Drosophila melanogaster: one gene and its partner. The protein of the gene in region 2 purifies or fractionates together with the protein of the main gene of each other region. This does not show direct contact. Each region holds a gene or a part of one and is shown on either strand. Other genes may lie near its edges.

Evidence for each region.
Region 1: the proteins of CG3511 (region 2) and CG12241 purify together in Drosophila melanogaster (affinity purification with mass spectrometry, with the first as the bait; one large-scale study listed by BioGRID). This does not show direct contact.

What each region holds. Positions count from the first base shown.
Region 1 is NT_033777.3:15,216,534-15,223,342, reverse strand, and holds CG12241 (uncharacterized protein), read right to left. Parts: upstream 4,088-6,809; 5' UTR 3,933-4,087; coding exon 3,867-3,932; intron 3,798-3,866; coding exon 3,275-3,797; intron 3,214-3,274; coding exon 1,388-3,213; 3' UTR 972-1,387; downstream 1-971. Other genes in the region: Polr2G (RNA polymerase II subunit G), read left to right, coding at 251-262, 320-640, 698-835, 893-943; SIDL (shal interactor of Di-Leucine motif), read left to right, coding at 4,566-4,590, 4,644-4,867, 4,925-6,809.
Region 2 is NT_033778.4:24,568,650-24,575,003, forward strand, and holds CG3511 (uncharacterized protein), read left to right. Parts: upstream 1-2,977; 5' UTR 2,978-3,058; exon of another isoform or gene 3,059-3,122; 5' UTR 3,123-3,256; coding exon 3,257-3,425; intron 3,426-3,475; coding exon 3,476-3,679; intron 3,680-3,736; coding exon 3,737-3,920; intron 3,921-3,974; coding exon 3,975-4,207; intron 4,208-4,265; coding exon 4,266-4,479; intron 4,480-4,532; coding exon 4,533-4,835; intron 4,836-4,902; coding exon 4,903-5,021; intron 5,022-5,166; coding exon 5,167-5,287; intron 5,288-5,346; coding exon 5,347-5,566; intron 5,567-5,634; coding exon 5,635-5,781; 3' UTR 5,782-5,854; downstream 5,855-6,354. Other genes in the region: Fcp1 (TFIIF-interacting CTD phosphatase), read right to left, coding at 11-220, 291-1,460, 1,523-1,704, 1,786-2,222, 2,285-2,378, 2,469-2,875; Start1, read left to right, coding at 6,341-6,354.

The DNA.
Region 1 (6,809 bases), on a different chromosome or scaffold from region 2:
AATGAACGGGCTGTAGTTCATGTTGATCATATAAGAAATGTTGAATGACTTGAAAATCGAACACCTCCATAAATTATCGTATTTAATTAATTAATTATTTTATTTTTCTTTCTAAACAGATCGTTATAATTATTGGCGGTAAATTACGCGCTTCTGTTTTTTTTACATTTCCGAATCTGGTCACACTTGCGGCAGCATCTTTTGGGTTCCGGCTGTTTACTTTAGTTTTTTACCTTAAATTTAATTAACAATGTTTTACCACGTGAGTATTTCATTCTCCGAATAGAGCAAAAATAAATGCCAACCCCTTGCGCCGTAGATATCGCTGGAGCAAGAGATTCTGCTTCATCCACGTTACTTTGGCCCGCAACTGCTGGAGACCGTGAAGCAGAAACTCTACTCCGAAGTGGAGGGCACCTGCACGGGAAAGTACGGATTCGTGATAGCGGTGACGACGATAGATCAAATCGGATCGGGTGTCATCCAGCCGGGCCAGGGATTTGTGGTGTATCCGGTCAAGTACAAAGCTATCGTCTTTCGGCCATTTAAGGGCGAAGTTCTGGACGCAGTGGTCAAGCAGATCAACAAAGTGGGCATGTTTGCAGAGATCGGCCCGCTGTCCTGCTTCATTTCGCATCATGTATGTTAAGTCTGAGGGATCTAAGGTAACACTTTTTAACGGGCGATTCTTTTTTAGTCTATTCCCGCCGACATGCAGTTCTGCCCGAATGGGAATCCGCCCTGCTATAAGAGTAAAGATGAGGATGTGGTTATCTCCGGAGAGGATAAGATTCGGCTGAAGATTGTGGGCACACGAGTAGATGCCACTGGAATTGTAAGACGCTCCATAAATATAAGTACTTTTCGCAAGTTAATACTCTAATATTTCTAGTTTGCAATTGGCACTTTGATGGACGACTACTTGGGATTGGTGTCCAACTAAATTCAATCGTTTTGCGTACAATTTATATATATATATATATTAAACTTTAATGAAATGCATTTAGACAGTTAAACATCTATGTGTATATAGTAATAAATATGTCTGTACTTTATAAGATTTGATTTCAATTAAAGGTACGTTACATTTGTAATTTAGTAGATTGGTGTGGTCTAGGATTTATAATAATGGATGGACATTAAGTAAACAAACGGCTCGAGCTATACATAGGGCGTTTTAAAGGTATAGTTACAGCTACAGATCGTTATGGTAAAGCACTTAAGTTAGGTGTACGACAACAAAGAAGTACTTAAAAAAGCGATAGCTTCGATTCAAAGAATTGCGATTGCACTTAGAAATGAAAGAACAGAGAAGGGGGCAATGAGATATTGGATACGCAGTTGATTGCCAACGATTGTGGAGCTCCTTACAAGGCGGCAGCAAGCCTCACAGATCCCATGAGAAGAGATGGTGCTTCACCAGCATGTCCCTTACTCCGTCCTTGAGCGGTTGCGACTCCTTGCCGCGCTTCGGCGGCAGTTCCCAGTCGGGGTTCAGATTGAAGGCGAACTGCGAGAGAATGCGCAGCTCGCACTTGATCTGCACCCAACCGGGTGAGTCAATAAAGCTCCAGGAATGATACCACTTCTGTACGACCTCCTGGCAGGCGCACAGCACCTCCAACCAGAGGTGAAGAACCTGTTCGTTGAGGCCCAAACAGATCAGCGAGCGTAACTTAACATCCATTTGTGCGTGCGCATCATCGTGCGTCTGATTGATGGCCTGAACGCAGCGATAGAGTAGCTCCTCGGGCGTTAGTACCTTGCCATCCTCATCCAGTCGATACGTTTTGCAGAGCACAAGACGGCTGTACACCGACTCAAAATCCTTCTCCACCTCCCGGGTGGCAGCCTCCTCAATATACAGCCAGGGGTGTATTGGTCCACCCAGAAACGTGGGCCGTTTCATGCCGTGCTCCAGAAAGGCCTTGATGGCCGGCGCCAAGGTGCCACGCACCAGGTCCGTTACAGTTTCCGAAATGGCATCATCTCCGGCTGATGTGTACAACTTGCTCCGCTCGTCGAGCAGCTCCACGAACTTGGCTGGAAACCAGCCGCGCAGGCCGTTCAGTTCTCCCACCCAGCAGTGTTCGTCTTTTTGACTGATGATTGTTATGATGTCGTTCCGCCGAAATCCCAACTCATCGTCGTCGTGCCGCTCAAAGTCGTGCAGGGCTTTAGCCCTTCGCTTTCGCGTCCTTGCCACATTGATAAAGTTTTCGTGGTCCTTGGCATGCGACTCGGTGCTGTAGTTGGCCGTCAGCTGGATGTGACCGGCAAGCTTGGGTTCAATGGTGATGAAATGACGACCCACTTTAAGGATAGCCTCTCTTAAGTCTACCAGGATCTCCGTCTGGCGTATATTCTTGTTCTTCAGCTGATCCCCTTCGTTGCCGTCGCCGCGGAAGAGAAAGGCTTCCAGGATGGATTTGCTTTTGCGCACCTGCCGTCGGGCTAGCTGTTGTTTGGGAAGATTAGGCGCAGCCTCGGGATTTCCTATCTGATGTCCTTGATCCGCCATGAGATAGGCCAGGTGACGACGACGATGGGTATCGATTACCGTCTGGCTAAGTGATCCGCCCACCTCCAGGGCTTGGCGAAAGAGCACTTCGACATCAGTGACCTCGCCGGGAATGTCGGACAGTGAATTGAAAATCTGTGCTGAGTTCTCGAGATGCTTTAGATCTTGCTCCTTCACCTTGAGCATGCCCAGAGTCAACTGGAACAGCACGATGGAGCCCTCGTAAAAGAACCAGTCCCAGATACGCACAAGAATCTTCATATGCACCACGTTGGCAAAAAGCGTGAGGAACCAATGCAGCGTGATTAAAGACAGCTCGATGTCGTGCTTACGCAAGGACTCGTCCACGCTGCTCAGGTAGTTGGCAATAAGCGTGTGCATCACGCGTTGGTCGGCTTGAATTCCCAGAAGAGTTGAGCTGTAGTAGGAAGCTGGCAGCAGATCCTCTACAATGGTGGCCATCATCCAAAAGGCGTTCTCCTCCTCCATGAAGAGAAGCAGACAGGCAACGATCACTCCGGTGCCCTGACAGTAGCCAATGTCAGGAAAAAGCCACGCGATGCCCCTCAGAATGCGGCGCAATCGGGGAATGCCTGTCCCATTCGGATTGCTAAAGCAGGCATTTGTTGGCAGGATGCGCAAAAGGTCCTTCTCGATCTGCTTCGAAGTCATCAGCTGGTCATTGCTAGAAGCTATCAAATTAGGTGTATATTAATAATGTATTTATAACCTTTCTTGTCGCGTTCGATCTACCTTTAACTATATCGTGGTAGCTGGTCTCGCTCTTTTGCTTCTTGGCCAACGCTCCTGATAGACGCATCCACATCTGGGCACGCAACGTGTGCGGGATACCCTGACGGACCATATTGCGCAGCTTTTCTGTGCGTGGGAGCATTACATCCACATGCTCCCAGCTCAGCTCGGCAGCCTCCTTGTTGTGTGAGAACTCCAGGTGGGCGATCCACTGCAATCGCTGCTGCGCGTCCTCTACAAAGGGTATGCTCAGCAATTTGTTGGAGCTCTGCTCCGGACCGTCCTCCTCCTCCACCCGGAAGCCAAATTCGTCAAAACGGTACTCCGGCTGGTCGTTTGGGCCGGAAGCCAATTCCGCGCCACCGCCCAGCTTGGCTAGGATTTCCTGTGGCCACATGGAGGCGGTAAGAGCGGAGAATGGCCCACCGGGATTTGGTCGCAGGCCATCGGCCACACTTAGTTCCTCCATCATAGGCGGCAGCTCTCCCAGATCGTCTTCCGAGCCCAGGTTCTGCAGTTTGCGCTGTTGGCAGTGGAACGATAAATATTAATTACCATGATAAGCAATCTTTTCTGGTCAATTTAGACGCACCGTATGCTCTTCACGGCCCACGTAACCCTCATGGTCGCGGCCAAAAATGCTCCTGGCCATGTCCATGCTGGGGCTGGCTAATTTCCAGTCGAGACCTGGCCGCGCATTCAGTGAAAGTTTCTCTTAAGTGTCTCTTTGTGGCGTGTGAAAAACAAATATTATTTCTTCATTGTTTCGTTTTCAATTAGCTACCGAATCTGATTTCACTATCAGCTGTTCGATAGGCGACTGTGGGTGGTATCGATTTTTAGCCAAGCCATAAAAAACTGAGGTGTGGTGCAAAAGGGATATACCCCTCATATACCCCTTAACAAATTTAAGTGAAAACATTTTTTGTTAATATTTTTTAATAAAAGAAGGCTTTCTCTACCAATTAAAAACCATTTAGTTTGGTTCATCTAACCATATTTTATTCTGCATATCCTTCTACTTTTTCTCTACGCCCTTGACCAGGGCTGCTGAAAGCACACCTGTTGAGCGAATAGTTAAAGCTGCTTAATTAGATTATTAATTTCTTGTATTAGGCTAGCATTTAATGGTTCATTGCATTAGGAATTAAAATATTTTTTAAATTGGTCAACCGATTATTGATAGCAACGAACAATCGATTCCCCCGCCCTCGCCTTATCAGCTGTTTGGTTGAGATTGTTGTGTGGCTTTCGTTTGCCAAATGAAAAACATACGAAATTTACAAAAACAATGCAGATAAAGCCCATAATAACATGTGAGTTGTAAAAAATTAACACAATAAATCCCATATCAAACCTTTACTTACAGACTCTGGCTCGTGCCCGCTGTTCCGATCGCTGGAGTCCCAGATCCTGAACGCGATTCCACTGGACACTTGCGAGTGGCGACGCACTTTCCAACGCCCCACGAAACATGTTCGCTTGGAAGCCCAGGCACAGCAGTTCAATGTTGCGGCCTTGGAGAAGTACAAGCAGGGTGACTGGAGCATCTTGGAGCACCCCATACTGCACATTTTCGTCACCGAGTGCAATGTGAGTTAACTGATCCTGTAGGAATCTCTAAATCCACCTCCATTAACTATCTTTCAGGATGTGGACACCTACAAAGCCACGATCAGGGAGGCAATCGACATTTGGTTAAAAACATTAACCAGTTATGGCGTCTCGGATTGGATGATTCTGTTGGTCGAAACACTGGACATGCGGAAGACAAAGAACTTCATGCCACGCACCACTGTGCTAGATAAGATACGGTTGGATTTTGGCACGAAGAACGACGACCGCTGCATCTCAGTTCTGAACCCGGCCAAGTTTGAACAGAAATCCACCGAGTCCTTCCGCTGCCTAGTGCAGCGTATTCGCTTCCTTATGCTCACCAGCTACAATCGGAACATAGTTAAGTACGAGGAACTAATACGGAGCAAGCGCGAAAAGAGAAACATTGAAGGCTGGGATTTCCGCCAATACTTCTTTATGCAGGAAGACCTTGCGTTGATCTTTGAAAAGCTGGAATTGCCCACCGAGGCGTTGATACAGTACGATGAACTGGACGCCATGTTCTCGCAGTTCATAACTCACACTGGTCTCAACGAGAAGCAGCAGTGGTTGAACCATTTTCGCAAGCCCCTGGACGCTTTCCATGGTATATGTCTGACCCGAGCGGACAAGTTCGAAATGAGGAACAAAATCCGCGATGAAGGCGTTTCTCTGTTGGAATTCCGCAACTATCTTTTCGAACGTCAAGCCTATTTGCTGCTTACTTGCAATGACATCCCAGAAATCGCGAAGAGGCTTCTGAACTTTTTGTTTTCCACACTGCGCGAGGTGGAGCTCATAAAGCTGGAGTGTCAGGAGGGCGCTCTTTGCTGTTGGGAGTTTGTTTGTGCTCTGGAAGTCCTGCAGCTGTGCGAACAGGCTATGGAACCCAACGAGCTAACATGTTTCCAGCACTGTGCTCCCATCTGGAACTTGGCCAAGGATAAGCTCTACGAGCTCGGCAAACTGTGTGGCCTCTTGCCCGGCTGCACGCCAACTTCGGAGCAGTTGCACATAGTGGTGCAGCTATCGTCGGGAATTGGAGATGCGCCGTCCGAGCAGCATCAGTTCCTCCAGGCGACACCTCAGCTACGAGACCGGTCTCCCAATCGTAAGCCCAAGAAATCGGGGGCTGAGCAGCTTAAGGAAGCCCTGGGCTCGAATCAAGCCTTCCAGAAGCTCTACCTGGAGCTGGCAGAGTTGGCCATCAGTACGTACAAGCATGTGACACGCTTGCGATCGGCCCGTTTGGTTGGCCTGGACCTGGGAAACTTCTACTGCGCTCTAAATGAGCCACATAAAGCTGTTGGATTCTTTACGGATCTTCTCAGGGAGCTGAAGGCAGAGAACTGGCACATGCTGAGCTCGCAGACGCTGCTTGAACTAGCTAACTGCTACCGCAAGATGGGCGACTCGCTGGCCTACACCAAGACATGTAGCTCCATCTCGTGTTGCGCAGAACTAGAGACCTTAGTGCGAACATTTTATTTCGACGAGTTTCTCAAGTCACTGAAAACACTTAAGACGACGCTTTCGGCACAGCCGTCGATAGAGAATGCCAACTATTGTGTACTGGAGGATCACTTTCGCATTCTGGACATCGAGGTTGTTAACCAGAAACCTATTATACAGGATGATTATATTCTAGTGCAGCTAAAAGTAGAAAGTCTCTATCCGCGCGGGGTCGTAGCTGAAAATGTTAAGCTTTGTTACGAATTGGAAGCTTCCTCTCTGGAGCTGGCCATGGAGAATGTCAGCCTAACTGCCTCCCCGTCGACGGTAAAGGCCAAGGACACCTCATCACGATTAAAGGTCTCGCTTCAGCTAGTCTACAAACAGGACAATCGCCTGCACTCTGCCGCTGTGGCCTGCGACTTGCCAAAAAGCAAGCAACCCGTGCGACGAACAAGCAGCACCAAGCGCAAACTTTCACCAAGTG
Region 2 (6,354 bases):
GACGGGCTACCTCGCCTAAACTTGGCGCTGGGCATCTCATCGTCATCGTCCTCCTTCTCGTTATTGTCATCGGCCTCCTCGTTCGAGCTAATGTCCACCTCCACGAGGTTTGGCGCTCCAATCATTATATCATCGCTTCGCGTGAAAAAGTCGTGAGCTCTGTTGGAATTATCATCTTCGCGCTTTCTCTTCAACAGCTTCTTGTCCATTGGTGGATTTTCTTGAGTTATTAAAGACGTATTCGATTAAACGTGGATACAGACACATGGATTAATAAGTAAAATACCTACCAAAATTTACAGGACCCTCGTCGCTGGACGAGTCTGACTCGAAGAATGTTTCGTAGTCCTTATTCATAGACTCGATATCTGCGTTGGTGAAGACCAGCAGCGGATTCAGCGTTTCGCGGAAGTTGCCGCTCTGCTCCTCCTGCTGCTTGCTGCTCGAGGGTGAGATCTCCGAACGCTCGCTGTAGTTAACCACGTGCTCGGGACTATGGCAATGGGCGGGTGGCTGGCGACCCTTGTTGCGTACCTTGCGGTCCAGTGGAAAGAGCTTCTCCTCCACGTGCTCCCAGCGCTCGGCGCAGGTCCACAACCAATTCGCATTGACCACTTTAATGGCAGGCTCTTTTTTGGCGGCGTTAACCTTGTAGGTGCCTGCGTTGACCGCCACTAGATGCGTTATCTCCTTGTCAATATTGGGCTTCACTTCGGCGCCCAGGCTCTTGGCTATGAAATACGCCCGCGACTGCTCGAGCTTCATCTGCGTGGGCACCAGGCCGGAGAACACCAGGTTCTTGCCGCGCAGCACTTCGCTCCGAATCTTCGGAACGATAACCTTTAGATCGGGTATTTCCGTGGTTTCGTCGTAAATAGAGTAGAATCGCTTGTGAATGTTACGAAGTATGACCTCTAGATACAGCAGGTAATCGTCGGGGTCTTCAATCTCTATCTGCTTTTGCCCCTCGAGCGGTGCTCGTAAGCTGGGCGTCTTAGACGTGGTGGCCACATCAGCGTCAGCAGACGGGCGCTTCTCATCCGGCGAAGTGGTGGATGAGGCTACAACCTCATTCTTTTCTGCCGGTGTGGGGGGCACCTCGGCTTTTGTGCTCTCCTTGGAATTATCATCAATAACTACTACGTCTTCGCCATCGCTGGCTGCTTTTTCAGCATCTGGTGAGCCAGATGAGCTGTCGTCTATGACCACAATATCCTCAGCATTAGTCTTGCCATTCAATTTGTCTCTCGGCTCTTTGGGTGCTTCTGTAGCGCTTGAGGCGTTGGAAACCTCTGGATCCTTGGCATCGCCCTCTATTTCGAACACGTCTACTGACTCCTCGTTTACATCGTCATCTTTGCTTGTGCTTGTGACGGTATTATCACCCTTATCGGTGTCTTCTGGTTTGACTTCGCTGCTGGATTCCGTCTTATCTTTGTCCCCATGCTTCTCGGTAATCTCTGCAACAAATGGAAATATCGTTAGAAACATTCAAGTCAGCTTGCTGGAACACCCAACCCACCTTTAAAGTCAACGCCTTCGCCATCCAGTTCATGCTTAGACAAACCCGGCGGGGCATTGATGTCACCAGTGTGTTGAAAGAAGTGGTAGGGCTTAACCTGAATCAAATTTGAAGCCATGTTCCACACATCCTCGCGATCGTCAATGATGCACACCATGGAATCGCCATTCGGAAACAGAGCCCTGTAATATACAATTTGTAGATTATTGTTTAACACGTTTAACAAGTGAAAATCCAAACAGCTTTCAGGTATAGAAACGCACTTTAAATTGTCCGTCTTGCTGGTGGCGTTGAAACACTCGTCTCTGGACAGAATCCTGTGCGAGAAGAACTTGCCCTCCGGGTCCAGCAGCTGGGCAATCATGTGCGCGTAGTTACGCGCACCAAAAGTGCAAATGTGCAGTTCGTACAGCTGGGACATGCGCTCCAGAAACTCGGCGGTGCCGGGGCGCAGGCGCGTGTGGTACCACGGGGAATGTGGGCCGTACAGCTGGAAGTGGTAGATGCCCTTGATGTTGTCCGGCACAGTGTCGTTGGTGGTGTGGATCACCGTCTGATCGAGATCGACAAGCAGGACCAGCTTCCTATCCGCCAGCAGGCGGCGGGTGTCGTCGTGCCCGAGCTTCTGGGCCAGCTTCTGGGTGACCTTAAGATCGGGCATGGTGTGCACCATTGGCACCGAGGCCTCGGAGGTCTGTCCCTGCGGGTTAAATGTTTAATTATTCTATATGCCCCTTGAGGTGGGTGGCAATGTGCACTCACATTCTCGTTCTGACGCAAGTCGGCTCCGCAGTCCGCGCACATGTCCTTGATGACCGTGGTGTGTATGCACTCGGACAGCTCCAGAATGGCATCCCTAAAGAACAGGCTCGGTTAGTGTGTATACGGCTGCATAATTGCATTCCCCCACGCCCAATCGCCGCCCGATTGCAACCCCCAAACTCACCCCTTCGTAAGAAGCTCCCCTTCCTTGCGAAGGCGCTTCTTCACCACTCCGGCGCGCTGGGACTTGTACCTCTGGATGGCACAGTCCCCGCCCGGCTTTCCCGCGTCCTTCGCGTCCTTCGCGTCCACGCCCACGGGCTGGTAAAGAAACAAGATTTGGGCCGCCGACACGAATTGTCCCTCGCGAACCCGCCATTTATTGATTACCGCTCTCGCCTCGTTCTCTCCCAGCGCAGCTCTCAAAACAATGATGCCGCCACCGCTGGTGTTGTTGTTGCTGTTGCCGCTGGCGCTGTTCTTGGCTCCGCTTCCTCCGCCGCCATCGTCGCCTTCGGCAGCTCCAGATGCGGCCACGCCCCCTGGCGCGCGGCTGGGCGTCGCGCCCTCCTCGTCCGGTATGTTCTGCATCGCAAGGCTTACGTTTTTATATACAAACGATTTGTTTAAATCCCAGTGCCTTGTTGTGTTTGCAATTTGTGTGAATATTGCGCGGAATTCGCATAAGAGCGCGGACAACTTTTGTAACTGCTCTCAAACAGCTGACTGAGCGCGAAAGGCGGAAAGTACTGATGGGGGTTTCACTTCGATTTGGTTAGTTAATGTGCGTAATTAACCATTAATTGGTAATTCAATTTATTTTACTCGTTTCTTTTAGTTTTGAGTTAAAATACAGGATATTCGTCCAAAGATATCGCAGAATCATTTGAATCAGCTGCTTTTGACCGTTAACCAACACTGTTTAATCGGCGGCAAACTAGTTCAGTCGTATTTTGTTTATTAACTTCCAAAATGAGTGATAAAACCAAGGAAGACCTGAAGCGCAGTGCCCCGGAGGAGGAGAATGAGCCCCAGGAGGAATCTGTGTCATCCGAAAAAGAGGCGGAAGGCGAGGAAGACGCCTGGATTGGACCCATGCCTTCAGAGCAGAGCGCTCCCGCGCCCGCCAAGAAAAAGAAGGGTTATTATTAAGAATTAGATTTCATTTAACTATAACTAATCAATAAATAGTCCTGCCCTATGAACACATCTACCTGGAAAACCTGCCCAATGCTGAGAGCTACGAGAGGAGCTACATGCACCGCGATGTGATCACTCATTTGGTGTGCACGAAGACGGATTTCGTAGTGACCGCCAGTCTGGATGGACACATCAAATTCTGGAAGAAGGGCGAGCTGGGCATCGAGTTCGTCAAGCACTTTCGCAGCCACCTAGGTGGGTTCTTGATCCACATAACGTGTATTTCTTCGTTTAACCAAGTGTTTGTTGCAGTACCCATCAAATCACTGACCACCAACGACAGCGGCACGCTGCTCTGCTCGGCGGCCACGGATCAGACAGCCAAGGTCTTCGATGTTGTCAACTTCGACATGATCAACATCATTCGATTGGGCTACACACCGCAGTGCAGTGAGTGGATAAATGGGCCGGGAGATGCCGTACAAGCACTGGCCATGTAAGTACCTTATCAATATCTGGAGATTAATGATTCTGATTGCTCCTCCTCCAGCTCGGATTCAGAGAGTAGCCGCATACACATCTACGACGGGCAAGGAGGCGGAGAAGCCCTTCACACCTTGGAGAAACTTCACTCGGCGCCCGTGGTGGCGATGTGCTTGAATGTGGCCATGGAGACCGTCATTTCTGTCGATCGCAATGGCATTCTCGAATACTGGCAAAACTCGAAGTACGACTACAAGTTTCCACAGCGTCTGGTGAATTTTGACTCCAAGCTAGACACAAGTATAGATCGATGATTAAGCTGAGTGAACCTAGACTCATCTAAATATTAACCTTTTAGGCCTCTTTGAGTTTGCCAAACAGAAGACCCAAGTCACGGGTTTAGCCGCCACGCCGGATGGAAAGCGTTTTGCCGCCATTTCCACAGATCGTAAGGTCCGCGTCTTTCAGTTCAACACGGGCAAGTTGATCCGGGTATTCGATGAAGCTCTATCTACATACACCCAAATGCAGCAGACGAAGCACGCCCTGCCCAACATGGAGTTTGGCAGAAGGTAAACTAGAATAAAATAGTTATTATTTATTGGTTTAAAGATATGAATTCCAGAATGGCGGCTGAGCGGGATCTGGAGAAGACTGCCCAGAATGCAACCCTTAATATTTTGTTCGACAGCACTGGCAACTTCTTGCTCTACCCAACGATGTTGGGCATCAAGGTGATCAATGTGGTAACGAATCGCTGCGTCACAATTCTAGGAAAAACCGACAACATACGGCCCCTCCAGGTGGCCTTGTTTCAAGGAAGAATTAAGCGCCAAAAAGCTGCTATAACAATGGAGCAAGAGGCCAGTGAAAACCCAGCACTCCAGAATATCCTTAACGATCCAACAGCCTTTTGCACTGCTTACAAGTTAGTTCATACCGTTTTGAATTATATCTATGCTGTATTATAATGTCCATTCTACTACTCTTATTAGAAAAAGTCGCTTCTATTTGTACAGCCGAAGACTGCCCTCGGATCTGCAGGATGTCGACCGCGATATTTTCAACGAGAAGCCCTCGAAGGAGGACATTATCGCCGTGCCGGAAGCTTCAGGTATTTTGGTTTGGCTTATCCCATTAACCTTTCTTAACTAACCCAAAACATGTTTCTATTGCACGCCAACAATATTTTAAGACGAAGGTTATTCCTATCAGATATTTCAAGAACAATTCATTACAAAATGTTCCTTCTATTCTAGTCGTGCAACGCATCTACGAGAACGTGGTGCTCCACACCACGAAAGGCGATATCCACATGAGGCTGTTCTTCAAGGAGGTTCCAAAGACGGTTGAGAACTTCTGTGTTCATGCGAAAAATGGGTATTATATATACGTCAACTGTTGAGAACTGTCCCATTGCAATCACATTATTTTGTCAGGTACTACAATGGACACATATTCCATCGCGTGATCAAGGGCTTCATGGTGCAGACTGGCGATCCCACGGGAACGGGCACGGGCGGCAAATCCATTTGGGGAAGCGATTTCAAAGACGAGTTCGTGCCGAGCCTGAAACACGATCGGCCCTACACGGTCAGCATGGCTAACGCGGGTCCAAACACGAATGGAAGCCAGTTCTTTATCACAGTCCTGCCCACGGTAAGGATGAATGCAGCGGTGATTAGTTTACTTTACTGGATTGACTAAGTACCAATCTCTAATTGCAGCCCTGGCTCGACAACAAGCACACGGTGTTCGGAAGAGTTTACCGCGGCATGGAGGTGGTTCTCAACATTTGCAATTCCAAGGCGAATCCCAAGACGGACAAGCCCTACGACGACATTAAAATTATTTCGATACACTTAAGTAATTGAGCAGAGGGCTAAAATAAAACTTTCAGCGACACTGGTTTTCAAATCTTCGGAGAACCGCCAATGCGCCGCAAAGAATTTTGGTATTTTTTTTTAACTCGGTTTTTTTGGTGTTTTCCCAGCCCGGCACACTAAACAGCTGATTCGTTTCTTGCATTCGGTGTTCCTTTTGTTTCGATAGTGCAATTAATATAAATTGGGACAACTGCAAATCTAATAGTATTATTAGAACCGGAATTAGTTGTGCACCTTCTAGTATTAGAGACTTATTAACATAACCAACCTGTGCCTACCGGAAATATAGAGGTACTTCTCGCAAATTATGCGGGTTCTTGCAAGATAATACGATACCATTTGTTTATGGCTGAGTAAAAAAAAAACAAAGAACTCCAGGCTGACGAGTCATTTGTGCGTATCGGCACTGAATCTGCTCCAGATTCGAAAACTAGGTTTATTTACATTTGCATGCAAAGGTATATTGTCTTCGATATGTGAATTGTAGTATACGTACATAGTTGCCTTTATTTCCAGACATGAGCTAGGCCAAATATAACCGCTCGCCATGTCCAATATGGA